Linked DNA regions of Rhinolophus ferrumequinum. The protein of the gene in region 1 purifies or fractionates together with the protein of each later gene. This does not show direct contact. Links are inferred from orthologs where the notes say so. Each region holds a gene or a part of one and is shown on either strand. Other genes may lie near its edges.

What was found.
Region 2: the proteins of OCIAD1 (region 1) and SLC6A8 purify together in Homo sapiens (co-immunoprecipitation; 3 studies listed by BioGRID and IntAct, with this or other methods). This does not show direct contact. The link is inferred for Rhinolophus ferrumequinum from reciprocal best matches to the Homo sapiens genes OCIAD1 and SLC6A8.

The regions. Positions count from the first base shown.
Region 1 is NC_046288.1:7,729,945-7,744,849, forward strand, and holds the start of OCIAD1 (OCIA domain-containing protein 1), read right to left. Parts: upstream 8,004-14,905; 5' UTR 7,785-8,003; intron 7,768-7,784; exon of another isoform or gene 7,602-7,767; intron 6,406-7,601; 5' UTR 6,401-6,405; coding exon 6,340-6,400; intron 5,917-6,339; coding exon 5,836-5,916; intron 1,891-5,835; coding exon 1,837-1,890; intron 1-1,836. UniProt on the Homo sapiens protein: Maintains stem cell potency. Increases STAT3 phosphorylation and controls ERK phosphorylation. May act as a scaffold, increasing STAT3 recruitment onto endosomes. Involved in integrin-mediated cancer cell adhesion and colony formation in ovarian cancer.
Region 2 is NC_046284.1:6,728,536-6,743,341, forward strand, and holds the start of SLC6A8 (sodium- and chloride-dependent creatine transporter 1), read right to left. Parts: upstream 6,615-14,806; 5' UTR 6,002-6,614; coding exon 5,740-6,001; intron 4,113-5,739; coding exon 3,981-4,112; intron 2,986-3,980; coding exon 2,736-2,985; intron 2,278-2,735; coding exon 2,145-2,277; intron 1,189-2,144; coding exon 1,054-1,188; intron 972-1,053; coding exon 868-971; intron 780-867; coding exon 655-779; intron 70-654; coding exon 1-69. UniProt on the Homo sapiens protein: Creatine:sodium symporter which mediates the uptake of creatine. Plays an important role in supplying creatine to the brain via the blood-brain barrier.

The DNA.
Region 1 (14,905 bases):
GCCTCCTCAGTAATAGATCCTAGTATTTTTAGGAGGCTTCACCTTATATATATGATAATAGTTCTACAAGGATGTAACTATAACTTGAAAAAGGGAATTCCTCTGTGATTCAGTTATGTGTAGGAGCAAGGTCTTCCCAAGCTAGGCAAAAAAAAAGACCCAAAACAAACAAATAGAAACAAAACCAGCAGTGGTTTTTATTGTTGAAGATACAAAGTCTGTCTAAACGAGTATGTGCAATCTCATTCTCCCACAGTAACCGCTTCTAACTTCAGGCCCTCTAAGTCTCCTATTCTACCTAACCCCAAAGATCCAAGTTTACTTTCTCTGTAACCTAATCAAAATTACATTTCTCCTGGTTCTACCTGAGCTAGTCAATGGACTTTTCACTCTTTCCTGTATGATTTTGCCAGTCTAGCCATATCAATCTCCTGACTGTCCCTCCCAATAATCATGATTATTTTGATAATCAGGTCCCTCCTTCCTTTTGATACTCTTCCTTCTCACCCAAATCCTGCCTATGTTCAAAATCCACTTCTTTCAAAAAACTTCCCTTGATCATAGCAGCTCTGCAGAAATATTTCTTCTTTAGCTCTTGAAGTCTCCACTACATAACTTTGTAGGTTATTAAATATTTAATTATATTCTCGATTTGCTTCACATTGTGTTCACATTGTTTGTTCAGATGAACTACTAGCAGCTCTTAAATTTGTTTTGTAAAATCCCCTCATGACTAGCTCCAATCATTATTAAATGACTGGATTAAGATAGATAAAATGGGCAGTACAATAAGACACTATAATTTCTCCGTTCATAACTCCCTGTGCCACAGTTTTTCCTTAAAAGTAATGTGATAAAAATGTTGTTTCACACTATAGAAACAATCTTAGTATATCAAACAACTTAGTCCTAAAGCACACTTAAGTGAACATGTATCTTGTTTCCATTTTTAAGATTCCTATTATGGTAGCACTTTGTAATGAAGTTCTTGGGAATACTTTAAATAAACAAAATTTGAACTCCCCAAATCCTCCCATTTCTCTCCTAAACTACTTTCTCAACTAGTTGTGTCAATACTATCTAAGTACTACATACTGCTAATGTGAAAAGGCTAAAATTGCCTATCACAGTCAGGTTTTAGGAGCTAGCTAAGAGAACAGGGTTTTAGGATATGTGGAGGCCATCCTAGGACATCTTCTCATTCCAAGGGAATAATAGTTCACAGAATAAATGCAATGTGCATTTAATTTTAAGATGCAGAGATAATTTTAAGATACATTTAATACTTACTCTAAACTCAATTCCACACATGGAATACACTGTACTATTTAAACCAACAGAATTTGGGACAAGAAAATGCCCCCTCCCCCCATTATTGTAAGATAAAGCTAGTTTAGGGAGCCATTCATCTTTAAACCAGTGCATAAGAGTTACCAGGAGTTTGTTAAAAGAATTCCTGGGCCCAGTGAGAGTGTGGGATGGGCCCAGGAATGTGCATTTCAAACCTGCTGCTAAGTAGCAGTGAAGTAGATGGCCTCCCTAGGCCAGGTTTGTCTCTCTACCCCTCAGTAAACCATCCAAAGATTTTACTTTCTTGCTCTTACAGACTCTTAGTGTTGCTACAGGGCAAGAGGATATCAAATTCTCAAATCAAGATATTTGTGTCAGTCCATGAAGATGTAAGTCTTCTGATGTTGTAGAAATTTATCAATGATGTTTAATGATACATTATCATGATATGATACATTATCATATTTACTTTATCTAAAACTCAGGAAAAGAACATAAAAATATAACATCCAAAATGCTACATAAATTCAAATTTTAAGTATTTACCTTTACTAATTAATCCTTGAGTGATCAACATACTCGTTGCAGCCAAAGGCACAGCTATAGGAGAAAAAAGAACTTGTCAACATCAACAAAAGATTTTGTCTGAGTTCATTAGGACAGAAAAATATATACCAGTAAAACCATCCAGGAAGTAGGTCGCACAATTAAGATCTTTAAAAGAGATTTTTCCATTTTTAAAAGCTGTAGTCTAGTCAGTAGAAATACAAAAGCAGCATTTTAAATTTAAGAAAACATTACAAAATATTAATACAATTCAAGAAGACCTGCTTGCAAGTTATTGGCTGATGTCTGGAAACTTGACTAGTAAACAGTTCCCAAAACCGATACAAAACTTTATCCGAATAAGTGGCTCACTGTTCCTAAATGGCTTGTACAAATATTTTATGCTGAACACCTGCTTTCCTTCTGATTCTGGAATTTTGGGACCTGCTAGGCTGAGGATAGGTATATAACCAGCCCCCAGTAAAAATTTCAGGTACCGAGTCTCTAATGAGATCCCTTCCTAGGTAACACCTCAAAGGTGTTATTACAACTAACTAGCAGCTAGAGACATTTAGCACATCGTGTGTCTCTTCCTCCCTCCCTCCCCTGGAAGATGACTCTTGGAAGCTTTTGCCCAGTGTCCTCTGGACTTCACCCCATATTCCTTTTTGCTTTACTCATTTTGCTTGGTATCCTTTCCGCTGTAAATTGTTTTAAATTTAAACAGTTACATGTGGCTGCCACATTGGATAGTGCAGTTCCAGACCAGAGGTTGGGAAATGGTCTGGAAAGAGCAAGAAGGTAAATATTTCAAGTTTTCATGGGTCAAACAGTCTGTGTTCCAACTATTCAAATGCCATTTTAAAGCAAAAGCAATGAGACAATACATAAAGAAATGAACATAGCTGCGTTCCAATAAAATCTTTTTTATGGCTGCAAAATTAAAAATTTAGGCAGCTTAGGCACAGTGAGCCACTTATCACTCAGGGAAAGTTTTATATCAATCAGCATAGGGAACTGTTTATCAGTAATTTTAACATATAACAAAATATATTCTTTTGTTTCCATTTAAAACCATTTGAAAATGTGAAAACCAAATTTAGCCCTTAGGCTGTAGTTTGCTCAACTCTGGTCTAGACTACATATGGGCAATTTAAGAACGAAGGTAATTAAGACATCATTAGAGTTCATGATTAAAATCTGTAACTTTGAAATAGGGCATTAGTTTTGCCATCAGAAACAATTTGCAGAAACCCTAAGGTTTGAATCCTCACTCTACTACTTACTAACAAATATTACCTATCAGGAAAAATAGTTTCTGTATTGTTGGTTGGTTAGAGTGGCTTCATGTATTATTATCTAAGGTTTTTCAAAGGACAATTCCCTTTTGATTACAGCATCAGTACAATTTGCAACCATTTTTCTCCTTCAACTTGGTTCAAGGATTGCAACATGAAGAAACATACACGGATGAAATGATGAGTTAGCTATGAGTTAGTTGGCCATCTCTCCAATGGATAATGCTTTCCCTATTTCACTTTCTTCTTAGACGAAGACGGTACAATGCAAAGAGTAACAGTCTGTTTACGGAGACTGTAGTACTATTAGGTTGGTGCAAAAGTACCATGTTTCCCCAAAAATAAGACCTAGCCGGACAATCAGCTCTAATGCGTCTTTTGGAGCAAAAATTACTATTAGACTCGGTTTTATATAAGACCTGGTACATTATATTATATTAATTATGTTATATTATACCCGGTCTTATATTATATCATACAAGACCGGGTCTTATAAGACCGGGTCTTATATTAATTTTTGCTCCAAAAGATATATTAGAGCTGATTGTCCGGCTAGGTCTTATTTTCGGGGAAACATGGTAATTGAGGTTTAAAAGGTTAAAAATAATTGCAAAAACAGCAATTACTTTTGCACCAACCTAATAGTTATGATATTTATCACTATGTCTTCTCATAAATCTCTTCTTTTCATGCTATAAAGATTAATAGATTAGAAGTAAGGTCTCTTTCCAACTCATGTATTCCCCCACAGGAAAAGGGAATGGTAAAATTGAAAGGGACTTCAGAGCTTAGTGTCTAGTCTTCATCCTAATCAGAGTAAATTGATATCCAGAAAGGACAAGTCATTTGCTCAAAGCAATAGCCATGGTTAGTTCGTGGAAGAGCTTAGATCAAAACCCAAGTCTCTTGACTCTCATGTCAGTGGCCTTTTCCACTATACCAGGAGTACCATTTCAGAGACTGTTAAATAATGTCTTAGGCAAACTGCTGACACTGCTGTCCAAAAGCTGTTTTGTATTATGACCATGGTCCCAACCATATCCAATACAAGGACCCCTAAAAATCTTTTAACTCTTCTTCACTTACAATAGCACAGTGCTATTCTAAATTACAATTGTTTTCAATTGAAATTGTTATTTCATTAATCACAATAGCACCAACGACCATTTAATAAAAGATAGCTTAACATTTATATAATAAATTGAATTAATCCCCATAACAATTAAATCAGATGGGTTAATTATTATCCCCATTTTACAGATAAGGAAACCAAGGCAAACACAGACATCAGGATCTTGCCTGAAATTTCACAATACGTGTGGAGGTGGGATTTGAATCCAGATAGTCAGGCCTGTGCTCTTATCTCTCATTACACTTACTCACTTGAAAACCAGGAGTACACATGTATAAAATATCATTCACAAAGATCTATAAATGATGCATGAAACAACTATGAATTCATACACCTTTTCAGTAATTCCAGAGGTTGAGAACTGTAACGTATAATACGCACTAAACTAACCCCTCTTGTGTACATTCTTTCATTAACTGTATGTTTGGCACAGCTACAAATGGTGTTGTCAGTGCATAGGGTCACAATTATAAGTAACTGCAAATAAGATGCCTTCAGAATTATGCTTTAAAATTAACAGAAAGGAGATCCCAGTAGAAATAAAGTCACCTTAAGGAAAAAAATGGACCCTAGATCAACAAGTCTAATTTTAAACCAAGATGAAGATAGCATTTAACAAACTTAAAAACGTGTAAAAATTACCTTAGTAAGTACTTTTTCCACACATTCCTACTTTCATCACAATCTTTGTAAATCAATAAACACAAAACTCTCCATAGAAATATGGATTCCATTATTCTTATTAAATACATGTAAACATCACAAATACGTAGAATATCCTTATTTGAAGAAACAAATGGAAAGTAAAAAATTTTCTAATGCGTGATTATTAGTCTGTCTCCTTATAATTATATGTTGAAAGCATAAATACCAGGCTGACTGATGAAAATGTCCATCCTCTTTAATTACCTAAGTCACCCCATCCTTTAAAAATTCCATCCTGCTTTTTTGTTAGAATTACCTTATCTGAAAGGACTGCAATGACCAAGTGAAGGAACACCAAGGGTTCTGTTCAAAAGTAAGATAACGTTTTATGTTTCTTTCAATAGTTTCTGTATTTAAAACAATAAAATCTTCATGTATAAAGTCTCTAGTCAGAAATCAAAAGCTGGTAATGTAATAGCATTTCAGTATGATTAGTGGGAAGTAATCAGTTTTTATCATGTAATGATTAAAAGTTAAGAGTTAAAACCATGAGCTTCTGTGTCAGACCTGGCTTCAAGACATCATGACTTAACAGCTGTGTAACATTAGATAACTCGTTTCACATCTCTAAACTCAATTTCTTCATCTGTAAAGTGAAAGTAATAGTTATCAACCTTATTAAGCTTTTTAAAATATATAATCCATGTACACTCAGTAAATGCTATCACTATTACCAACAAAAATACTTGTCTTGAGAAAGTTCTAGAAATTTATTACTTTAAAATGTGTACAATTCTATTTCCTTAATCAACCTCTTTTAGTAATAAACACACTATGCCAAAAGTGTGCCAATTTTTCTATACGAAGTCATTAAAATATCAGGTATTAAAGGTCAAATTTTGTTGATTAGAAAATGTAACTTACATCTGAACCAGAAGCTTTCATCATTGCATTCTGCGAAGACCCTTCTTTCTTCCTCTGTTGGAATGTAATCAGCCCCTATGTCTTTTTACCAAGGAAAATCGACAAACATTAAAACACCTATGGAACAACTAAGTCTAAAAAATTATCTTATTTTATACATTAACAAAACATACCCATTTTTTTAATGAACTAATGAAACAACTGGCTTGAAATCCTTTAACAAACTTTGACTTCAAACAGAAGTTAATGTTACTATCTGCTAGTTAGAACTGACTACATAATGTGCTATGTCCAGTGCAAAATGAATATTTGGGACCCCTTGTTCAAATTATTAAGAATTTCAAGATGGCAACAGATCATTAACAAAGTGTGGGTCCCTGTGTGACTGCACAGGTCATATACCCAAGAAGCCAGCCAGCCCAGCTACTATACTGTTCCTCATGGCAGTAAAAATTTCTCTACAGAGATCGTGCTTCTAATTATAAATACGTAATTGATAGTTACGAGGAATTGGTCTTGGAACATCTTCTGCATTCCGCTCTCGAAAATCAGCCCTCCCATTCATCTTTCCTGCATCAAAAACATGTATATTTAGTATCAGAAATAATTATGAAATAGGTCGAAGTCAGGATATAGTACAGCAAAATTACTAGTCAACATGGCAATCAATCAACTAGTATTTACTAAACACTATGTCTGAAATACTTGACATATGTAATAAAGTTACCTAAATAAAAAAGTCACAGACCTATTAACTAATTTGGAAATGACTAGTCATCTTAGGTTCCTTAACAGAAAAAAAAAAAAAGATGCTTTATAAGTATAGTATTTATCAACTGATTCTATCGTTATTAAAAGGACATCAATAAAACAAGACATAGTTTTCCTCCTATCACTGCTTTATTTCACATTATCCTATGTTTGGATCCTTTCAAAAATATATGCTCAATGATTAGGTTAATTCCCCCAAATAAAGGAGGGAAAAAATCTCAAAGTCATTCCATTAAAAAAAAAATCATCATCATCAGGAAACACACCTCTCCCACAAAACAACTCTCTCCAAAAATGGAATAACAAAGACGTCATGTCCTTTTCCCAGTGGTATAAAGCTAATAGCAAATTATGTATCCTCCAAACTTTCCTCCCTCCCCAAATGAACACTTAGAGAAACAGGACACGCAAAAAACGCACAGCATTTCAAGAACATACACCTTTATTATTGTTTTTAACCCATGGCTCATGACTTAAGAGACCAACAGATTATTGTGTATTTTACAGAATGTTCCCATAGAATCATGATTCTTCCCAAACAATTTACATATAAACGGTTAATGGCCTACATGAAGAGGGTAGCAATTTGGGCCCTTCCATAATTTACGTACTTATTAAGCCATCATTGAGGGCCTAAGACATGCCAATTCCTTAGCTAAGGAAAAGGAACAAAAGGGTGAGATGAATTCATGGATGATGGAGTACGCTTAACTGAACTACTTAAATCCCAAGACAGCCGTAAAAAAAATGAAACCCTCTTATTTCCCAAACAGCATCCTACATAGAAACCCTAAAAAGAGACTATCAAGGCCGACACGGCCCCTTTGGACAGTATCATTTTCATCTCTTAAATCCCAAAGAAAAAAACTGAATTGAACCCACGTCGTCCCGCCATCGTCGATTCCCGCACTCCATCCCCCATCTACTATATCTGCATATCCAGCTGCAACTCCCCCAAACGCAACCGTCACCAAGAATGTGTCCCATCCACACACCCCAGAAACACTCCCTCTCTTCCCCAGGTCACCGAAACGCAGGAGCCCGAGACCCAAAGCGCGATCGGTCCAGCCTCGCAGGCAGGAAAATGGCGGAAGGTGCAAGGTAGCAACTGGAAGCGCTGAGGCGGTGAGTGGGTAGGTGGGGGGGCGGAACCGGGCTCTCGGCCTCAGCTCACCCACCTCGGACGACAGCGACAGGCGATGGCGCGGCGAACCCGGGCGATCAGGGGCAGAAGGCCCGGAGGGAACCTAAGAGGAGTCAGGAAGGGGGGAAAGCGCGGGGAAATCGGGAGGCGAGTAGCACCACACCAGAGGTAGCGGTGAGGCGCGGACAGCGACTCCGCAGTCCAGAAATCACCCCGATACGGGCACAAAATGACCGCAACCCGGAAGCACTAGCGACCTACGGACGGAAAAACGTCAGCTCCCTCGGCGGTGTCGTAAAGCGAGTAGTCTCGGAACGGCCGGCTGCGCCTGCGTCTCGCTGCGCCTGCGTCTCTCTGCACCTCCCAGTGCGTGACCCTCCGGCCTGCGCCCCCAGCCGCGGCGCTCACGAGCTGCACTGCGGCTGCGCTGGCCTCCGCGGACGGGGAGCCCGCCCCGCCCCTCTCCCCCGCCCCGGAAAACGGGGGGAAGCTTGGCTAAAGGCTGTTGTGACGCACCGCTCTGGTCTTCTAGTGACCGCCTGGCCGGAAAGTTCTGGAACCCCGCCCCCTTGCATCTCTTTGTTGAGAATTACCGATTTTTCTTAGATGTCTCTGCAGGCTTTACATAATTCATTCCGTTCCTCGAGCCTCCGGGCTAAGTAGTAGAAAGTAGTAATTACCAAGCCAGCGCACCTGGCTGCGTGCCAGACCGGTTTTGAGTCTAGCCTCTGACTACTTCTAGAACATCAGGCATGCTGGGTTACCTCTCTGAGCCTCAGGTTTTTCTCATCTGAAAAATGGAAGGAACACCTACCTCATAGGTGGTTAGGATTAAAGCAACACACCGAAAAAGAGGCTTAAGCACTCAACTGTTCTCTCTTGGAAGAGTTTATATTTGAATGCGGGGCTTGTGACTTCTGTGCATCAGATATCATGCTGTCCCACACCTAAACACCATTCGTTCACTTATTCATTTTGCACATACTGATTGCCTCCTATGAGCCAGGTACTGAAAGTTAATTGGTGATTTGACAGTGAACAATCATCCCTACCCCTTTGTTTCATCAACTAAAAACCTCTCGTCTTTCTGAGACCCTCTGCCTCTATCCTCCTTTCATTTTTGCTGCCTCTGGAGCTGCCCCACATTTATTCTCCCACAGATCTATTTAAGAGAGACAGCCTATAGTGATCCATGTAAAACACAAATCCAGTCCTGTAGTTCCTTCCTGAAAGCCTTTTAATTGTTCCCATCATGCACAGTACATAAGGCCCTTCCTGGCTTGGCCTGTGTCCTCTTGAGCCTCGCTTTCTTCTACTGTCATGTTCACCAATAAGAAACAGCCTGTATATTGTCTCCAGTCTCCCAGCTCCCAGCCTCCTCCTTGCCTTGTCAACTATTGATATTCAAAAATCCTGCTTTTACATTACCTCCCTTGTGAAGCCTTCCCTGAAACACAGTGGGGACAGAGCCCCAAAAAGCAGTTTCCAGGCTCTCGGCCTCACATAGAAAGGTGCTGGCTCAGGTAGTAAATGGCCATCAACTGTGATCGGATGGCCATCAGCTGTGGCTAGTTGGCCGTCAGCTGTAACCAGTGAGCCATTGGGCACTAATATAACTGCCATGGCTACGCTAGCAGGAAATGGGGGCGAGCAAGAAGATGGTGGCTGAGCCTGCAAGCGGCGCAGTGAGGGTTGAGAATTGTGTTGCTCCCGTTTCCTGTTTCTCAACCCAGCCGCCAGCGAGAGTATAGTGGTGTGACTCTCCTACCTATGGCTCCGTGGGTGTTCCTTTTTGGCCTCACCATGTCCTGCGTTCTTATGTGGGGAGCAGGAGCAGAGACCCCACCTGACACCCTGCACAACACATGGCGCAGTGAGCAGGGTCTCCCACATGACACACACCCCAGAAAATTAATCAGTCCTCCTTCTTAGTTAGCACCTCTTTGCTTTGTACATACTTCTATTACTACAATGTTGCTCTGTGCTGTGTTGATCCTCTTGCTTATGTCTGTCTCTGTTACAGAGCTTTAGGACACAGACCTTGGCTTATAAATCTTTACACTCCCAAATATATCTTACACTCTAAGATAATTAATGTTAGTCATTAATATTCATTTCATTCCTGGGACATGTCGAGCTGGTTCTGGGCTCAGGGCCTTTGCAATTGCTGTTAACTTCTTTGAGAACACTGTTTACATGAACTTGTCTCAGGTTGCAGCTGATGTCACCTGAGACACCTCATCAAAGAGGCCACTCCCTGATCACCCAATTAAAATACACTCCCATGTTACCTCATTTATTTTCATAGCTCTTATGATCTAAAACAATTATTTGTTTGACTGTCTCTCTGTCTCCACTCACTAAAATAAAAGATGCAGGAAAGAAGGAGCCTGTCTGGCATCAAAATGATTGGTACATAGTATGAAATCAATAAACATTTCGTAAATGAATTTGCTGAGTACATTTTTATAAGGGAAAAAACAAAAATAAGAAAATTAAAAGATATAATGAGTGAACTTTATGCTTAAAGCAAAATCTTTTCTGACTAGATTGTAAGATTCCAGAATCCTGTTTTATCATATTTTTTATATTCGGTGAGCCAGGCCTAACAAATGGTAGCTATTGATGAGTATATTTTCCGTTGCTCACATATTTCTCAGCATTCAAGTCAATTCATAAATTGGACTTCTACTGATGACAGGGTATGGTGCTGTTTGTGTCGGAACAAGTAAGATTCTAAACATTCAAGGTAAATTGCCATTTTCTGTGCTGGCATTCTGGCATTTAGAGGTATTGAGTCCATTGGTAATTTGAGCAATGCAACAAATAATTCATAAATTGGTAAGATCCAAACTGGAAGTTGATTCACATTTGATAGAGGCTACTGGATTTATTAGCCAATGAAGACTCTCAGTGCTTTAAATGTTTTTTTGCCCCCTTCTTCTACCTCCCTTCCCCCTCCTCCTTTCCCCTTCCCCCCTTGAACTGTGAGATAACCAGAAAAAAAAAAATCTACCTAGATTAAATTAAATCAACTCACTTCAATTCACGGAACTAAGATCTAACGAAACATCACCATAAGAAATGCCCACTTGTTAGACAAAACTTTTAAAAAATTATTTATAAAGGAATTATTTAGGGTATTCATTAATTCATATAAATGAAACCCGTGTAATAAATTCCTTGATTTCAGTGTCAAGAAAAATTTGGTTTTTCCGATGAACTCTGGAACTGCTAATCACAATTATTATTCAGCATATTTCCATTTATGCTTCCTGAGGGTAGAGGTTGTATCTTAGTCTTGGTATTCAACACATACTCATTCCTCAAAATGTAACGTCATAGAAGCCAAGGGAAGAGAATGTCCTAAGAAGGAAGGAATGTTCAGTCATATCAAATGCTGATAAGGACTGAGAACTAGCCATTAAATATAGCAATAAGGTTATTTATAACTTTGGCAAAAGTCGTTTCATTAACATCTACATTATAATGGGATGAGAAGAGTGATTGGGGATAACATGGAGAAAGATGCAGACTACTCTTTCCAAAAGCTTAGCTGTTTGGTGAAAGGAAGACATAGAATGGTAGCTGAGGGGAAAATAAAGAATGGATGAAGGTTAGTTTTGTTTTTGTTTTTTTAATTCCATAGAGACTTGACTGTAATTGTTAAAGGGGAAGAACCAGTAAAAAGAGAGTTGAAAATATGGGAGTGAGAAGGGATAATTAATAGCATAAGGTACATTTCCCAGCTGATATTCCGTGAATGTACCACAAGCATTGATCCATTCAGCCTTTGGGATGAGCTGTGTGAAGAGCTCCCCAGCCAATTGTCCGTAGCTTGAACAACCTTCTTTGAGGTCCTCTGAGGAGAGCTAGCTATGATGGAAATAAAGCCTAATGGCATGGCTCTGTACTCCGCAGGTGATGAGAGCAATGGACAACATTCAACTGTTCACCACCTAAATGTAAGAAAATTGAGCACAAGGGCACATTGCTGCTTATTCTGGGCAAGGAGCCCTTGGGGTTGCTGGAGATATTTATGTTCTAGTTGCTCAGGGAACATGGCAGGCCTGCCAAGGTGCAGCTGGTGAGGTGGAGATACAAGGAGACAGTACAGGGGCTCCTAGTGGTTCAGCTTTAGAGAGTTGCCCTGGGGAGCAACACCAAATCTCAGTCTTCATGGGAACTGGACATGTCTGGTCTTCTGTAGTTCATGTGTCCACTTCTGAACTTATGCTTGGACATACTTTCCTGGTGCATAATTTGTGCTTGATTTCCCTTTTACAGAAAAAGAGAAGAGAAACATCAATAAAATGACGGGCCCATTCGTATTAATATGAACCTAAAAACACTGAGTCGATTAGTATCTCTGAGATCCTAAATCACAAAAAGTTATAAGAAAGCATCTAACATAGGGTCTTGCCATTAGTTGACATGCAATAAATGTGAGGTTTAAAAAATTTTTTTCTTGAAGATCTGAAGTACTAGAAAGGAATTTGAAAAAAAAGTGAGAGAGAGGGGTAAGCAGAGATGTAGCCTACACTGTAAATTCCTGATTAACAATTGCAAAAACCGTGTTTCCCCAAAAATAAACCCTAGCATGATTTTTCAGGATGACATCCCCTGTACATAAGCCCTACTGCATCTTTTGGAGCAAAAATTAATATAAGACCTAGTCTTATTTTCAGGGAAACACGGTAGTTGTCCAGCTTTCCAATTAAAATTTAAAACAAGTTTATTTTTAAAGGCAATATAGGGCTTCTAATAATGAAATAGTCTGGTACTAATCAATGCTGTTCAGTGGCTGATAAATCCAATTACATTATTTCTTTGTTCTTTCTTAAATCTCAGCTCTAGCTCCAGTATCCTGAGTATTGTGTCCAAACATGAAATCTGCCTACTTTGTTGTAACTGTGCAAAAAGTCAGTTCTTTGTCGAAGGCGAGAGCAGGAGACATTTTTTCCACATCTAGGTGACTCTTTTGCGGAGAATCTTTTCACTACAATGAATATTTGAAAACAAAGACTTTCTGAATAGCCATCCCTGCTTTTCTTTCTTGGATAACAGTTTCGTTTGCAGGCAGAATGGTTGGGGGGTGGAAGGTGGGGGGTATCCTCCACAGTAGGTGACCCTTGCTGCAGTGCTCCTCATGCTGTCCATCAATCAGAGAACCATCTGTCCCACTTTAGATTTCAGGAGCCGTCTTGCACATCTGCTGTGCCTTTTCTAATGTCACTTATAAAACCTACTAAAAGCTATTAGATGAATTAGGGGAACCAGAGTGCAGCTGCATGTAGCTGATTTTAAATTTTTGCAGCTGGGTTCTACACATCACGCTCAGTTTCGAAATTATGTTTTATGTGATTAGAACCACAAAGTGAATAATTCATTTTATAATAACAACTACTAAGAGAGTGGGCCTTAAAATTCTGTTCTCTGAAAGTTTAAAAAATATTATATATATTTTAACAACTCTCACCAAATGTTTAAAAGTTAAGCCAAGGAAAGGTAATTAATAATACTTAACATTTGTTGTGCACTTACTATGAGTCAAGCCCTTTTCTAAACATTTTAGTACAATATTGTATGAAATCCTCACAACAACCCTGTGGATTGTAGGTACTATTATTCTCAGTTTACCAATGAGGGATTTGAGGTACAAGGAGGTTGAGTACTTATTCAAGTTTACATAGCTAATAAATGGTAGAGTCAGGATTTGAATCTAGCCCATGCTCGTATCAGTGTCTCTCAAACTTGAACATGCTTATAATCACCTGGGGAATTTGTTTAAAAAGCAGATTCTGATGGAGTGGATCTGAGATGGGAACGGAAATTCAGCACATTTAACATACTCCTAGGTGAAGCAGACGCTTCTGGTCTTAGGATCACGTTTGTATAGCAAGGATCCCCTACACACGGGTTCTCAACTTGGTTACTTATTAGAATCACCTGGACAGATTCTTAAAACTAGTGAGACTCATGTCGCACCCCAAACTAGTTCAAACAGAATCTTTGGGTGTGGGATCTGGGCAGGGAAGAAACTGGGGGTGGAGATGGAGTATTAAAACTGATTTAAATTAATTTAAAAAGGGTGGGGAAAGGGTAGTGTTGATAGTGGGCCATCAACCAAAGAGTACGATTAGTCTAATTCTGTGCATCGATGATCTAATTTTAAAAAGCTATAGTTTGAAATGGTTTTTTAAACATATTTTGTATATCTAAAGAAAAAGTAGAGATTTCTGAGTAGAGAAAAGGTAAACAAAGAAAATTATAAAGGTAATTTATAGAGAAAGGAAGAAAACCAACAAAGTATAAATTCCATTCCCAAAGTTGACAAAGAAAATGTTCTAATGAAACCAATAAAAATTGATTACTTTCTTTCAAATGTTTTCCCAAATTTAAATGACAAATGCTAAAGCCAGACATAACACTGTAAACTAATGAAATGTGGGTGTTCCTAATTTTAGAAGACAGTGATATTGTTTTTTGTGATCATTAATTTATAAATCCAGCATAAAATGTATACATCTAAATACCCACATAATAAAAAAATAAAATTGCTCATCACTTAAAATTAAATGATATGATTTTCTTCTAAATAAGTGCAAACGAAGCATATATGAATGGATATTTAGACAAATTTGGATAAAAGACAAGGGAGATTTCTGGGAAATCTTTTATATGTCTTCAAATCTATCTGAAATAAGTACCAGTATTAGCCATGTGAGGATTTAAATTGTTTACTATCTGTATATTCTCTGTATTAGTTATCTATTGCTAAGTAACAAATTACCCTCAAATTTAGCAGCTTAAAACAATACATTTTTATTGTCTCATAGTGTTTGTGGGCTGGGAATTCAGGAGTGGGTTAGCTATGTGGTTCTGGCTCAGGGTCTCTTACGGGGCGCTGGTCAAGATGTAAGCTGGAGTTACAAGGATCTGAAGGCTTTGCTTGGGGCTGGAGTCTCCATTTTCAAAACAGCTTACTCACATGGTTTCTGGCAAGGGCCTCAGTTTCTCTCCATAGGGCAGCTTGAGGGTCCTTATGATCAGACAACTGTCTTCTGCAGAGTGAGTTTTCCAAGAAAGAGAGAAAGAGGAAGAAGCTGTCATGCCTTTTGTGAGAGGCTATCACCATAACTTCCTCCATATTTT
Region 2 (14,806 bases), on another chromosome or scaffold:
CAGCCCAAAGCGGTGCCACGGGCATCAGCGTGACGGCCCGGGGGTAGGCGATGAAGGCCAGGCCAGGCCCTGAGGGGGAAGGCACAGCATGTGGACACCTGTGGTCTGTGCTCATGTGCTGTCCTCCCACCCCTGCCCTGTGCTACCAGAATAGTGGAGGACGCCAGGACACCCCGTGGCCAAGGGCCTTTCCTCTCGTGTCAAGGCACCGCTGGGCCACTCAAGCCCCTGTGGGTGTCCCATACCAGGGGCTGGAAGAATCCTGTAGGCCCTCGGCAGACCTCCACCCATTAGAGCGGGGTGTGTGCTTTGGAGTTCTGGTCACTATAGACCCTGGGAAGGCCTTCCTTTCCCTCTGCAACACTCTGGCAAATGTGAGAACATATCCCGAGGCCTCTGGGGAAGAATGGCCAGGGGCTTCAGGCTCCACGTGGCCTGGCCCACGAGGGCTTCAGCCCTGGGCTGGCTGAAACAGCTGTGCCTTCCTTGCAGCTGCTATCCAGGCCTGCCTCTGGCCCAGAGCGATGTGACAAGTTGAGTTTGAATTCTTCTCTCATTTCTCAGAATGTCTATTTGCATGTGCGTTTTTATACGTGGTACGTGAGGACAGCAGCTGCTGCTCCAGAGGCCAGGCTGGGGCCCAGGGGTCTTTACCTGACTCTGCCACCTTGGAGATGTGCACGCCCTGCTCTGCAGCCATGAAGCCCAGGATGGAGAAGACCACAAAGCCAGCGAAGAAGCTGGTCCCGCTGTTGATGAGCGCGAGGATGATGGCATCCCTGGGGACACAGGAGACCATGGGGGCTGGTTAGGATGCCTGCTTGCTGCCCACGGGTGGGCAGGGTAGGGCAGGGAAGGGGTGCTTACTTGTAGCAGTTGTTGTTGAAGCGATTGTAGCTGCCCAGGGCCGTGAGGGCGCCCAGGCCAATGGCATAAGAGAAGAAAATCTGGGTGCCGGCATCTATCCATACCTGGACATGGGCCAGGGAAGAGTACGTGTGAAGTGTCCTGTTGGGCTGGTTCCCCGTATACACCCCACCGCCTCCACCTCACCTGAGGTGACCCCAGCTTGGACCAGTCAGGCTTGAGATAGTAGACGATGCCATCCAGGGCGCCAGGCAGCAGCACTCCACGCACGAGCAGCACAACGAGGACCACATAGGGGAACGTAGCAGTGAAGTACACGATCTGGAGGGCGAGGGTGCTCAGAGGCGCCCTACAGCACCCACCTCTCCTTAGAAGCCCCCAGCATGGGCAGCCTGAGAACGGCAGGCCACGTCCCCCCCACTGGACAGTGAGGTCAGAGGTCAGGAGGGAGGCCAGGGGGAAGAGCCCCCTCATACTCCTCAGAGCCATGGCTCCTCCCAAAGGAAGCCAGGTGCTCCTCTGGGGCACCAGCACCCCATGGGAAGCACATGTAACCTGAGAGGGAGGGCAGAGGCAGGGCCGTCCCGGGGCCAGGAGTGGGACATCAGCCTGGGGGCAGGCCCTACACCTCCTGTGTCCGACTCGAGATTATCCTATGCAGAGAGGTGGGGTCATTGGTAGCTGGGATTAGAAGTGGACCAGCCAGAGACAGAGACAAGAGTGACACGGACAGCAAAGGCCTCTGCCTCCCGCCCAATGGGGCCGCCGGCTCTGGAAGCAGCTACTCTGTGGACCCTGCTGGGAATGTGCCAGCCTTCCTGGGACCTGGCCACGGCGCACGGCCCTCGGCAAACTGTCCTATTATGCATCTGTTTACACATTCGTCTCCCGAACCTGACAGGCAGCTTCTGGGGAAGGCATGTGTCTACTCCCACCTGGGCCAGTCGGGGGACAGAGAGGGCCATAGGAGAGGTCCACCCAGACCGTCCAAACACACTCAGATAGTGAGTGAGGCATAGGAAGGAATGGGGATGGAGGGTGGGGACGGGGACCCCTGACACAGGGAAAGAGCAGCTGCTGCCTGGGTCCCTCACCCTGGGGAGGGAAGATTGTTGGGCCTGGATTTGGAGGCTGGGAGGACTGTGCAGCCATGGGGTGGGGATCAAGTGGCCTGGATTAAAGTACCCGCCCCCTCCTCGGGCACAGACCCTGGTCCGGTCACCACCCGGTGCAACAATGGTTCCCGGCAGACACCCCCCCACCGCCTCCAGCTGTACCTTTCCTGTTGACTTGACCCCCTTCCAGACACAGAAGTAGACCAGCACCCAGCAGGCCAGCAGACATAGGGTCACCTCCCAGTTGAGGGCCCCTGGCACCTCCAGCCCCCGGGAGAGCCGTAAGACTTTCCTCCTAGGGGAGGAAGAGCCCATGAGGGCTGTGCCAGCAGAGAGCAAAGCGACTAGGAGCTGTTCCAGGGGTGGTGCTCTCCCTCCTGCAGCCCTTGTGTCCAGCTGGTCCCTCCTCAGCACCTGGGCTGGGCCCCGGCCCAAGCCTGCCGCCTGGAGGCATCACAGAGTATGTGCCTGGCGCCCAGGAGTCCCTGGGCAGAGGCGGTGGGGCTGGCAGCCATCCCCCTCCCCCAGGCTGGCTGGCACCACAGAGTGACGGTGCCCAGAGTGAGAAATGGTGCTGATGGAGCAAGGCCCATACTTCCCGGCTCCCACCAGGACTAGGCTGAGGGGTCTCTCCCTAGGGCAGGCAGGGCCCAGGACTGACTCCTGCTGCGAATCCCCCCATGAAGACTCGGGCCACCTCTGGAGCCCAGAGAGAGGGGCAGGCCCGGCCTGGCCCAGAAGCGCCTGACTCACTCCCAGAACTCGATGACGGGGGACCGGCGGTCAGCAAGCTGGTCACATGTGAGGTTGGCCAGGCTGGCATTGGCACAGTCTTCATGGTGGAATATCTCCACGCAGTCAGGAGTGTTCCAGGTATGGCCGCACGTGGCCCAGGGCAGCGTGGTGGTGAAGGACTTCACCAGGTAGTAGAAGCCCCAGGCCAGCACCATGATGTAGTAGGTGTTGCAATAGAAGACGATCACCATGGAGGCGTAACCCAGGCCTAGGAACAGGGCAGTTTCGGTGGAGAGTCTTTTCTGGCCTGCTCCCTGCATCTGCCGTCCTCCCCCTCCTCACCATCCATCCATCACACTAGGTCCTTCTCTGTCACGCTCCTGACCAAGCCCCTGGACTTTCCCTTGGGCAAGTGTCCCAATACTGGGCTAACTCCCCAATATGTCCCTGGCCAAACATCAGCCCCTGCTCATGGCTTCGCCTCCTGCAGCCTCCTGAGGCCCGAGGCAGAGCCCCTTCCACCCTGCCCCCATCTGAGCGTTAAGTCCCATCGACTCCCTAGTCTCACACACCTGTCCCCTTCTCTTGGGTCTCACTGCCACCACAGCAGTTGAAGGAGGGCCAAGCCTCCATCTGGTCCCCTGTAGCCTCCGGTACTCGGCAGCTTGGGGGACTTTCTGGTGAGCTGGGGCACTGTGGGAGTCAGTCACATTCTAAGCGGGCAACCTCAGCCAATCATTTTATCTCTCTGTGTTCCAGCCTCTCAGGGACACTAAAACCTTCCTCCCAAGGCCTTGAGAGATGATAGGGGAACACTGCCCCCACACAGAAGAGGCTCTAAGGTGATCTCTGCCATTATTAGCTCTTCCCTTTAGATCTGAACTTTCAAAGGCTCCCATATAAACTTGGCCCTCTAGCCTTGGGAAAGCTCGTCTGGGGCAGCTTCTCCAGCCATCGTCTCTCGCACCCAGCCACTCTCCACTCAGCCCCAGGGAGCCAAGTGTGGTTTACAGGGTCTGTCCCTAGCCCTGCTGGGCCTGGGTGTCCTCACCCTGGTGAAGGGATCCAATCCCCTACTCTAGCCCCAGCCCGCCCAAGGTCATGGGCGGTCTCCCGCCATGATCGACAGCTTCCCCTTCATGACTGGGGGCGTCCATCAGTGGGCCGAGATTTCTCAGGTGGGTGTCAGCCTTGCCCTAGCCGTTGGAAAGGGGAGGGGACCCTGAGGGAGAGAGTGAGAGGGACTGGCCCAAGGCTGCTCACCTTTGAACAGAGGGCAGATGTTCCAGACGTTGATGCTGCCGGCCTTCATGAACTGGCCCAGCGAGATCTCCAAGAAGAAAATGGGGATTCCTCCGATCAGGGCGATCAGGACGTAGGGAATAAGGAACACACCTGAGGGAGGAGACACAGGCCGAGGACTTGACCCAAACCCCCAGCCAGGCTGTGCAGGCCCAGCCCAGCTTTCAGAAGCCTTGGAAGGCTGGGGTGGAACCTCGGCTCCAGGCTCCACCCAAGCTCCATCATAACTTCCCACTGAGTGAATCAGTGCAGCGGGTGGCCACTGACTCAGAGGGCCCCAGGTGAACAGCCCTGGGGGGTGGAGTATTGAAGGGGTGCTGTGGCCCATTTCCCTGGGCTGGGGGGGGGCGGTGGTTCCTATGCTCACAAGGCTTCTGCCTCCACAATCATCTAGGGTGACCTAACGGGCATGGAGGGTACACGTGCTTGCACACACAAGCCATCCCTCATGTCGCAGTTCCACATTTGCCAGGCAGCACAGGAAGGAAAGGCGGCGAGGGCATGTGTGTGCATGTGTGTGTGTGAGCTATGGCTGGCGCTCAGGCCCAGAGGCCTACCTGGCTTGGGAGAGGGTAGGGAGCCCCTGCCTTCCCTGCACCTACACGCTCTCCTACAAGTGCGAAGGTCCAGGGAAGAGGGTGGGTGGGTGGCAGTCCTCTGCCAGTGGACTTGGGGGGGTGGTGTCTGAAGGTGTCAGTGAGCGATGACAGACATTGTAGGGGAGGTCACCCGGCTCTGGAGGCAGCATGCAGGGCAGGGCCAGAGACCACAGGCCTGGGGTGGGGGGAGCTGGGCCCCAGTAGACCCCTGTGTACTCCCCCCTCCTCCACAGGTCCTCTCCCCTTGCCCCTGGCTCAACTGTCTCCACTGCTCAGAAGCTGGGCTTCTCAGCAGCTTGCCTGGCTCTTGGACCCAGCATCCTTCTTGTGTATGACCTTGGGCAAACGCTTTCACCCTGGGCCTCAGTTTCCCACCTATCACCCAGTCATCATGGCTTTCCACCAACCCTGGTGCTGCTTTCCAGTCACAGGACCCGCGTGCCCATCGCTGTTGCTAAGCTGGGTTGGGGCAGTCAAGTGGGCATGGGGTGTGTATGCAGTGTGTCCAGCGGCAGCGCCGGGCGGCCCAGGCCTCAGGCTTCCCAAGCCTGGCTCAGGCACCCAGTGTTCCAGGCCCGGGCTAGAGGGGAGGGTGGGGAAGGGAGGGCAGGGGAGAGAGGGGAAGGGAAGAGAGAGGAGCTGGGGAAGGGAAGGGAGGGGAAGGGAGGGGAGGGGGAGGGACAGAGTGGCCCATTGTGTGTGTGTGTGTTCGTGTGTGCACACGTGGGGGGCCCACACAATGTGCCACTTGTGTGTCTGACTGGCGGGGGCAGCCAGGGCTCTTCACCTCTGGGAGCCCCCCCAGGGGGCAGGCCTCGCCTTCCCACCTCAGTGGCCAATCCCGGAGCTCCGGGAGTCTGGGGGGGCAGCCCCGCGGCTTGGGCCGGAGGCTCCCTGGCTCCCTCCCCCCACACACTGCCAGGCACATGACCAGCCAGGGGGTGGACGCCGCCAGGCTGGGCAACCGAGCAGCCACTGCCGGCGAGGGGTGGCCCTGGCCCCGACCACCCTGGGGGCTTTCCCCACCCTCTGGACTTCGCCCGTACGCCCCTGTGGGGCGCGCAGTGGGGCCCGCGGCGGGCAGGGGAGGGTCCACGGCGCGTAGGAGCGGGGGCGCTCACCTCCGCCGTTCTTGTAGCACAGGTAGGGGAAGCGCCACACGTTGCCCAGGCCCACGGCGAAGCCCACGCACGACATGATGAAGTCCATCTGGCGCGTCCAGGTCTCGCGCGGCGGCACGGCCAGGCGGCCGCCGGGCGCCCCCAGGCCCGCGGGGCCATCGCCCTTGGCCGGGGCCCCGTCGGGCCCGGGCGCGATCAGGGGGCCCTTCTTGTCGTCCCCGGACACGCTGTAGATGCCGTTCTCGGCGCTCTTCTTCGCCATGGCCCCGGCTGGCGGCGCGGCCGGGCCGGGCCGGGGTGCGGGCGGCGGGGAGCGCCGGCGGCTCGGTGGCCCCGAAGGCGCGGGCCGGCCGGGGGCCGGTGGCGGCCGGGCCGGGTTCGGGGCGGCGGGCGGGCGGGCGGCGGGCGGGGTGCGGGGCGGACGGGCGGCGCGGTCAGAAGCAGTCCACGAAGCACTTGAAAGTGAGCCTGAAGAATCTCATGTGTGTCGGGGGCCCGGGGGCGCGCGGGCGGCGGCGGGGCCCGGCCGGGCGGCGGCGGCTCCCGAGGCTCCTGCCCGCGGCTCGGGCGGCGGCGGTAGCGGCGGCTCGCCCGGCCCGAGGCTCAGCCTAGCGGGACGCGGGAGACATTGGGCGCCCACTGTCTGCAAGCAGCGGCCGGAGCAGGGGCTTATGGCCCGCGCCCCCCGCCCCGGCCCGGACTCGCGCGACTGCCTGGCTCGCCCGCGGCTCCGGCGGCGGCGACTCCGGCTCCGGCGGCGGCGGCTGCGGCCCGGGCGCTCTCGCCCCTCCTTCCCGGCGGCGGCGGCTCCAGCCGCTCTCTGGGCCGCGGCGGGCTCAGCGACTCGCCACCGCGCTCCGATCGTCCCTCTCCTCCCCGGCCTGACCGGCTGCCGCTTAAGAACCGACTCCGCGGTGATGTCACCGTCGCCCCACCCCCACGACTGGGCCGCTCCCCCTCCCCCTCCTCCGTCTTTCCCTCCCTCCCGCCCTCCCCATCACTCCGCCTACCTCCTCCCGCCCTCCTCCCGAGGACGAGACGCCGCTCCTGCGGGAAGCAGGATGGCTGCTACCTGGGGCGCCCGCCAGCATCTCCTCCCCAGGGGCCAAACCGCCCCAGACCCCAGGTTAATCTGGGCCTAGTGCCGGCCCAGATCGCCCCTCGTAACCTGCCCTTCCCGCTTGTAGGACAGCCGCTTCCCTCGCTGCCTTCCAGCCATCCTTGGCCCCCTCTCTCCTTCTCCCCCTCCTTCCAGCCTGTACCATCTCTGGCCCCTCTCTGACTCCCGGCTGGGGGCTGGGCCAGTGTTGAGCACCAGAGGGGGTGCAGGGTGCTTTGGCCTCCTGAAGGGCCGGGCCCAGCTGGCCAGCAAGGGAAGGCTGGGGGTGGGAATGTCTGCCTGCAGGTGTGCTGTTAGGTTTTGCCACAGCTACCACCGTGCTTCCTCTGGGCATTCAGCCTTCCCCAAGGGGTGCAGCCCTGGAAGGTGGAAGTCAAGGTCCCAGCTCTTGGGGTGACTGATCTCTATGAGTCTTCCAAGGGGCAGAGGGGAGCCCGCCTAGCTGAGGCACAAGTCTACACAATTTCACCAAGGTGGGTGTCATAGGGAACCCCGCTGCCCCCACCCCTGCCAGACCCTATGAAGACACAGACAGGAATTGGGTAAGGCTGCCCCCTGGTGCCTACTGGGTGCACAGACCCTTCCCCAAAGGCCTCAGCTGGGAGGTCCTAGCTCCCCACTCCTGGCACTCTTCTCCCTAGGGACCTCCAGGCCTCCCCAGCAAGAGCAAGGTTGTTCAGCTGCCTTTCCACTGGCAGCTGAGCAGCCTGTTTGTAATTTTCCAAGGCCAAGAACAGCCATGGGGTGGGGAAGGAAGGGATCATTGTCCTGACTGAATATGTGAAGTGTCCACTCCCCCCCACCCCAAGTCCCAGGCTCCCTGATGACTGTGCTGCGGTCCCCAGATGGCTCATCCCGTTAAGCTAAACCCTCAGCCATCCAGCGGCTTTAGGAAGAAAAGCAGTTCCGGTCAGAGCCAGATTGAGCCTGCTAGGTGAGGGAGGGGCAGCATCTCCACCCATGCTGGCTGGAGGAGCCTCAAGAGGCATGTGGGGGGACACAGGGGGCTTGGGGACCCTTGAGGTGGCACTGCTCATCAGAAGACCCTAACTTGAGTCTTCTCTGGCCCAGCCTAGGACTAAAGCTGGTCTGGAGACAGACAAGTGCCCATAGATGGCCTGGAGCAGCAGGCCCCCTGGGTGAGGGCTGCTTCTGATGGGGAGACGTGGGCAGAGGCCAGACAGTGCAGGGAGAGGCAAGGGGAAGTGAGGACGTGTCTGGATGCAGGGGACTCTTTCAAGAACTGAAGATCAGGCTTGGCCAAGGAGTGTGGTGGGGACAGAAAGCAATAGCTGGAGAAGGACGTGGGTGAACTGATGGCACATGGGGAAAGTGGCCTGCGAGGGAGGTGGCCAGGCTGAAGGTGGCTGCTGCCAATGGCCTGTGTGAGCTCTGGGATTCCTGGGGCCCAGGCTCCCACTGCTCTAGGTTGCTGCCTTCAAAGGGTGTCTCCCATGTTGGAGCCAGGGCTTACACATCTGGGAGGTGCAGCAGGCCCCCAGACAGGGCCACATCTCCCCTCCCCCTCCTCCTCTCCCAGTCTCCCCCCACCCCCCTTCTCCTGGACCCCACAGTGGCCTCTTCCTCGAGGCCCAGGCATTGCATGCTTCTCTCAGCAGCACCGATCAGACCAGTGCCTCCCCACCTGCTCTTCTTTGGGCTTTTCTCCACACTAGGGATCAAGCTCAATTCCTCTCCAAGGCTACGAGATTGGGCACCAGCTGGCCCACGGGCTCCCCAGCACTGAGGGGCAGCCGTCCATGCCCTCCCTGCTCTCCCTGCCTTTGGCCCATGCTGAGGCCCACTGCCTGGGGTGCCTCTTCTTTGCTGACCTCCCTCTGATCCTGTAGGATTCAGGTCAGCTGCCACCTGTCCCAGGAGGCTAAAGAGAGAGGCAAGGGAGCCCTCGAACCCGAACCCGAACCTGCACCCCCTCCCTTACCCAGCCAGGGCAGCTGGGCTTGTGAGGTGGTCAAAGTTCATGAATCCATCCTTGCCTCTGGCTGGATGCTTAAGACGGAGTTTCCCGAAGTGGGAGCTGGAGGCTGGAATGCTGACCCTCGCAGCCTGGGGAAGCGGTTCAGCTGATAGGGACAGCTACAATATTCCAGGGGCAGCTCATCAGGGGTGCTGGGCACTCAAGGGAAACAACGGCTGAGGGATTTCCAGCCCTGGGTTCTCAGGGCTTTGCGAAGGTGTATCTTGCACCCCTCCCTGGGGACAGCAGCTGCTGGGGAGGACGCCCCAGGACCCCAGCTGAGAGGGCCAGGAAGCTGTCCCTGGCAGCCACATCTAAGCCTCCACCTGTCCTGCCAGGTCCTTGTAACCACAGACCTTCAAGGCTGGTTCCGGAGCACATGCGGGAGGGGTTGGGGGTGGCCCTACTGCAGCTCCTGGGTGAGAAGCAAAGTGTTCCCCAGGCAGCAGCCAAAGTGGGCAGCCTTTCAGAGGCCAGTTAAGCAGTGGGGGGTTTTGGAGAAGGAGCCAGGAGGAGGTGGGGAGGGAGGGAGCGCTGGAAGGGGGCCTCCCATTGTCCAGGGACGCTTGGGAATCGGACCCACTGCTCACAACGACTAGGGCTGCAGACCCCACCGGGTGGCACAGTGGGCTGGATGGGAGGGCGCCCCGCCTTGGGGCAACCAGTTAATCCGAGAGGACCTCAGCAGCTGGAGGCGGGTGTGGCTCCTCTGCTGGAGACTGTGGGTACAAGGAGCTCTGGAATTAGAATTAGCTGGGAACAAAGGGAAGGCTGGAGTCCACCTTGAAGGGCTTTGTGCTTCGAACAGCTGGGGAAGGGAGGATGGCGCCAGGCCCCCACCCCGGGCTGGGGGTGAGGAGGGGCAACCTGCCCCCCGACCCCTGCACAGCACCCCTTGCTGTGCTTATCCACACAGACCCAGAAAGGATTGTCACATTTGTTTTTATTTGAAATAAACTTGTAACAAAATTTCTGAATCGTTTTAGATGTACAGATTGCAGGGCCAGTCGGGAGAGTTCCGACGCACCCACACCTGACAATATGCATTGGCCTGGTACATTTGTGACAATGATCAGCCACTATTGTACATTGTGGTGAACTCAAGTCCGCTGACTTGTGCAGAGTGCCTTCGCTGGACCCTCACGTCCTTTTGTGGATCCCACACTGCATTCGTCTTGCTAGGAATCTAAGGAGACAGTAATGACGAGTCACGTCTCCTTAGATTCCTCTTGGCTGTGACTGTCCTCTCGGATGGGGGACTGCTCCTTGGGGGTTTGCCGGCTGTTTCTGTCCCGAGTAGCTGGGGTGATGGCTATGGAAAGGAGGACCACGGAGGTGAAGCGCCCTCCCACGACATCCTAGCAAGGTGCCATGCACTCAGCACGACTGCCACTGCCCATGTCAATCTTGCTCAACTGGCTGACTTCAAGTTTGCTCATCAGGTGTCTCCACTTTCAATGTAATTCGCCCCCTTTGCAGCCTGTCCTCTTTGGACCAAAGTCACCATTTGCAGCCCACAGTTGAGGACGGGGGTAACGCTTGCCCTTGGGGGTTGGGTGAGTACCTATATAAATTATTTGGAATTTTCTGCACAGAGCTTGTCTCTTCTCCCCCATTTATTTATTATTTAATCACCTATTTATAACTGGATATTTATTTTATACTTTTGGTTATGATCCAATACTACTCTATTTATTTTGTTGCTCAAATTGTTCCAGCTTGGCCATTGGGAGCTCTTTCAGTTGGCTTGTGCGTCTCTGTCGTACCCCATCACTGTGTGTGTGTGTGTGTGTGTGTGTGTGTGAGAGAGAGAGAGAGAGAGAGAGAGAGAGAGAGAGAGAGAGAGAGAGAGAAGAAGAAGAAGAAGAAGAAGAAGAAGAAGAAGAAGAAGAAGAAGAAGAAGAAGAAGAAGAAGAAGAAGAAGAGAGGAGAAGAGAGGAGAGGAGAGGACATTTCCTTGCTTTCTGGCACTACAAGGAGCTTCAGACTCATCTTGTTTGTTTCCTGCCCCAGCCCTAGAATCAGCCATTTCTCCAAAGAGCCCTTTATTGGACAAAGGTATTAGAAACCAAGATCTAATGTACTCATTGTTACTGAGGTGTGATTCGTTGTAGGCTCTCTCAGCTGGCAGCAAGAAAATTTATGTATATACTAAGCTATGTATATACCCATATCTACAGACATTCATATATATATGTATTTCCTTTTTTTTTTAAGATTTTATTAGGGAAGGGGAACAGGACTTTATTGTGGAACAGTGTGTACTTCCAGGACTTTTTTCCAAGTCAAGTTGTTGTCCTTTCAATCTTAGTTGTGGAAGGCGCAGCTCAGCTCCAGGTCCAGTTGCCGTTCCTAGTTGCAGGGGGCGCAGCCCACCATCCCTTGTGGGAGTTGAACCGGCAGCCTTCAGAGTTAGGAGCATGGATCTCTAACCGCCTGAGCCACCGGGCCGGCCTATATATGTATTTCTTATACATACATAGAGATGCATATATCTATATGCACCTGTATCTATATTAAGGTAAACATAAGTTCATACTGATGTCTCCAGCTCTGATCCATCACCACATAGATCATTCTAGTACCTCCCCTTGCTTGTCTGTCTCTCCCCACATCAACACTGAAAAATCTGGCTCCCACCCTCTGCCCTCCATTTACTTAACTGTCTAATTCCAGTGCACATGTAGAGCGGGTTCAGAATTGTCACCCCTTCCCCTTGTGGGGAATAATGTTGTCAACTAGAGCTCAGTGCCCACATGCCATTCCTTTTGCCTTTGGTCTTACAGACCCCACTCATTTCCAAAGTGACTAGATCAGCCCCTTTCCCCGGACCCCCTTCAGGGAGGTGCTTTTGTACATTTGTAATACACGTAGATTCTTTGGTCACAGTCCTCATTCCTTCCTGGGGTGCCCCAATCTCCTGAAATATTATTTTTAATTTTGCATGTGTTAAAATTCACTCTTTCTGCCATCTAGTTCTCTGGGTTTTGACACATGCAGAATGCCACATATCCACCATTACAGCATCACACAGAGTAGTTTCATGGCCCTAAACACCCCCAGGCTTCCCTTGGTCAAACACTAACCCCCTCTTTCAAACCCCTGGCGACCACTGATCTGTCACTGTCTCTATAGTTTTGCTTTTTCTGGAATGTCATATAAATGGAATTGTACAGTATGCAGTCTTTTCAGACTGGTTTCTTTCACTTAGCAAAGCAATATATATTTAAGACTCACTCATTTCTTTCCACGGCTTCATAGCTCTTTCCTCTTTATCATCGTATAGTATTCCGTTATCTGGATGGACCACAATTTATCCATTCACCTACTGAACGGCATCTTGGTTCCTTCCACTGTTTGCTGATTATGAATAAAGCTGTGGTAAACATCCAGTAAAGCTGCAGGTTTTTTGTGGATATAAGTTTTCAGCCCCTTTGGGTAAATACCCAGGAGTGGGATCGCCAGATCTTATGGTAAGAGAGTGTTTAGTTTTGTAAGAAACCACCAAACTCTCTTCCTGAGTGGCTGCCCCAGTCTGCATTCCCACCAACCATGGATGAGAGTTCCTGTTGCTCCACATCCTCACCAGCATTTGGTGTTATCGGTGTTCCAGGTTTTGGCCAGCCTGATAGGTGTGTGGTGGTATCTCGGTGTTTTCATTTGCAATTCCCTCATTCATTTGCTGCGAAGCATCTTTTCATATGCTTATTTTCTCTCTGTATTTCTTCTTCGGTGACATGTCTGCTCAGATCTTTTGCCCATTTTTTACTTGGGTTAACCCCCTGGGTTTTAAGAGTTCCATGTATTCATATATTTTGGATACCAGTCATTTTTTACATATTTATCAGGAAATGCAAAGGTTTCCCCCTCTCCCGTGGCTTGTCTTTTCTTTCTCTTAACAGTATTGTTTGAAGAGCAAACATTTAAAATTTTGACAAAGTCCAATTTGTCATTTTTTTCTTTCGTGAAGCACACTTTCCATATTGTATCTAAAGACTCATCACCAAGCCAAGGTAAGACAGATTTTCTCTTGTGTTTTCTTCTAGCAGTTTGGCATTTTACATTTAGGTCTATGATCCACTTTGAGTTAATTTTTTTTATATAGATTTTATTGGGAAGGGGAACAGGACTTTATTGGGGAACAGTGTGTACTTCCAGGACTTTTTTCCAAGTCAAGTTGTTGTCCTTTCAATCTTAGTTGTGGAGGGTGCTATTCAGCTTCAAGTTGTTGTCCTTTCAGTCTTAGTTGCAGAGGGTGCAGCTCAGCTCCAGGTCCAGTTGCCATTGCTAGTTGCAGGGGGCGCAGCTCACCATCCCTTGTGGGAGTCCAACCGGCGACCTTGCGGTTGAGAGGACGCACTCCAACCAACTGAGCCATCCGGGAGCTCAGCGGCAGCTCAGCTCAAGGTGCCATGTTCAATCTTAGTTGCAGGGGGCGCTGCCCACCATCCCTTGCAGGACTCGAGGAATTGAACCGGCAACCTTGTGGTTGAGAGCCCACTGGCCCATGTGGGAATCGAACCGGCAGCCTTGGGAGTTAGGAGCATGGAGCTCCGACCGCCTGAGCCACCAGCGGGCCCTGAGTTAAGTTTTTTGTAAAGGGTCTCCTGAAAGGATTTTGAAAAACTCTTTATCCATCACTACCCAACACACACACACACACACACACACACACACACACACATCCATTTTGAAGTTTACATCTATTAATACAATATTTCAACAGATATGTAAATAGTTGTGAAGGGTGTAATTCAGGTATATTGTAAATACTGACTTCAAACAAAAATTGTGATATCACTTTTTACACGAGGCCAATAGCATCGAAATCACCTGCTAAATTGATACCTATGTCCATCTTAAACTCTGCGCCAGGCAGTTTGTTTGCTCAGGCTCACTTTGGAAGTGGGCCCTTTTATTCCTGCCTCCACTTTTCGTCTGCTGCCCCTCAGAGAAGTCTCTGTGTGCCATCTCTCTTCACGTGGGTAGTCTTTTGTTACTCCTCACTCGTACTTCTCCAAAACGTAAATGTATGTAAGTTACATTTCTTTTTATTGCCTGTGACCACAGGACTCTGATCATGTTTCTTCCGGGATAATCATCAAACGAGCAAGTGAGATGGGTTCCAGTCTGTGTCCAATAGGACTTACTGCCAGCATGAGGTGGAGCTCACTATCAGGCCCTCTCCTCTTTTCTAAGCCCTAGGAAACCTTGTTTGCAGAGATGAGCAGTTGGGAGTGGGGCCCGTGCAGCCAAGTGCGGGGGCTCCTGGAGCCTCCTTGAGTGAACTGGGAGGGGCAATTGAGAAAGGTGGGGGGATAAGAACTGGAGGGGGCCTTCTCAGACTTACCGATTTTTGGACAGAGTACATGTGAGAGATGAGGTCAGGAAAGATGATTTTAAAAAACTTCTGCCTGCTCCATGGACCCTCTTAAAGATTTTGTCTCTCATGCCAGGAGACCCCTGGAAGATGGATTTAGCAGGTCACTCCTGGACCCTGCGACTCCTTGGATCCCTACAGCTGTGGCCTGTGTAGACCTGTTCTTGTCAACAGCCAGGGCACCCATTCCGCATCTCTGGTGAGGCCTGGACCCCCTGGGAGGGGCATCAGGACCAATGGAACTGGGTAGGAGGAATCCACTCGTTGGATGAAGGATTGATTTCGGTCACCCAGCACTTATTTCCTGAGCACTTCCCCTAGGCTGGGTCAGCAGAGACCCTTTTGGGAAGTGGATACTCTGGTGAGGAAAAGACACAGAAGGTGATTTTGCATTGATGGTTGTTCTGCAAACAGGGCGGGGCGGGGACGGACAGGGGAGGCCTGTTTGAAGAGGTGACATTTGAGCTGAGACCCAATGGAGTGAGGGAGCAAGCCAAGCACATAGATGAGTGGAGAGCATTCCTGGCAGAGAGGCAGTGAGTGCAAAGGCCCTGGGGCAGGTGCATGTTTGTGTGTTTGGGGCCATGTA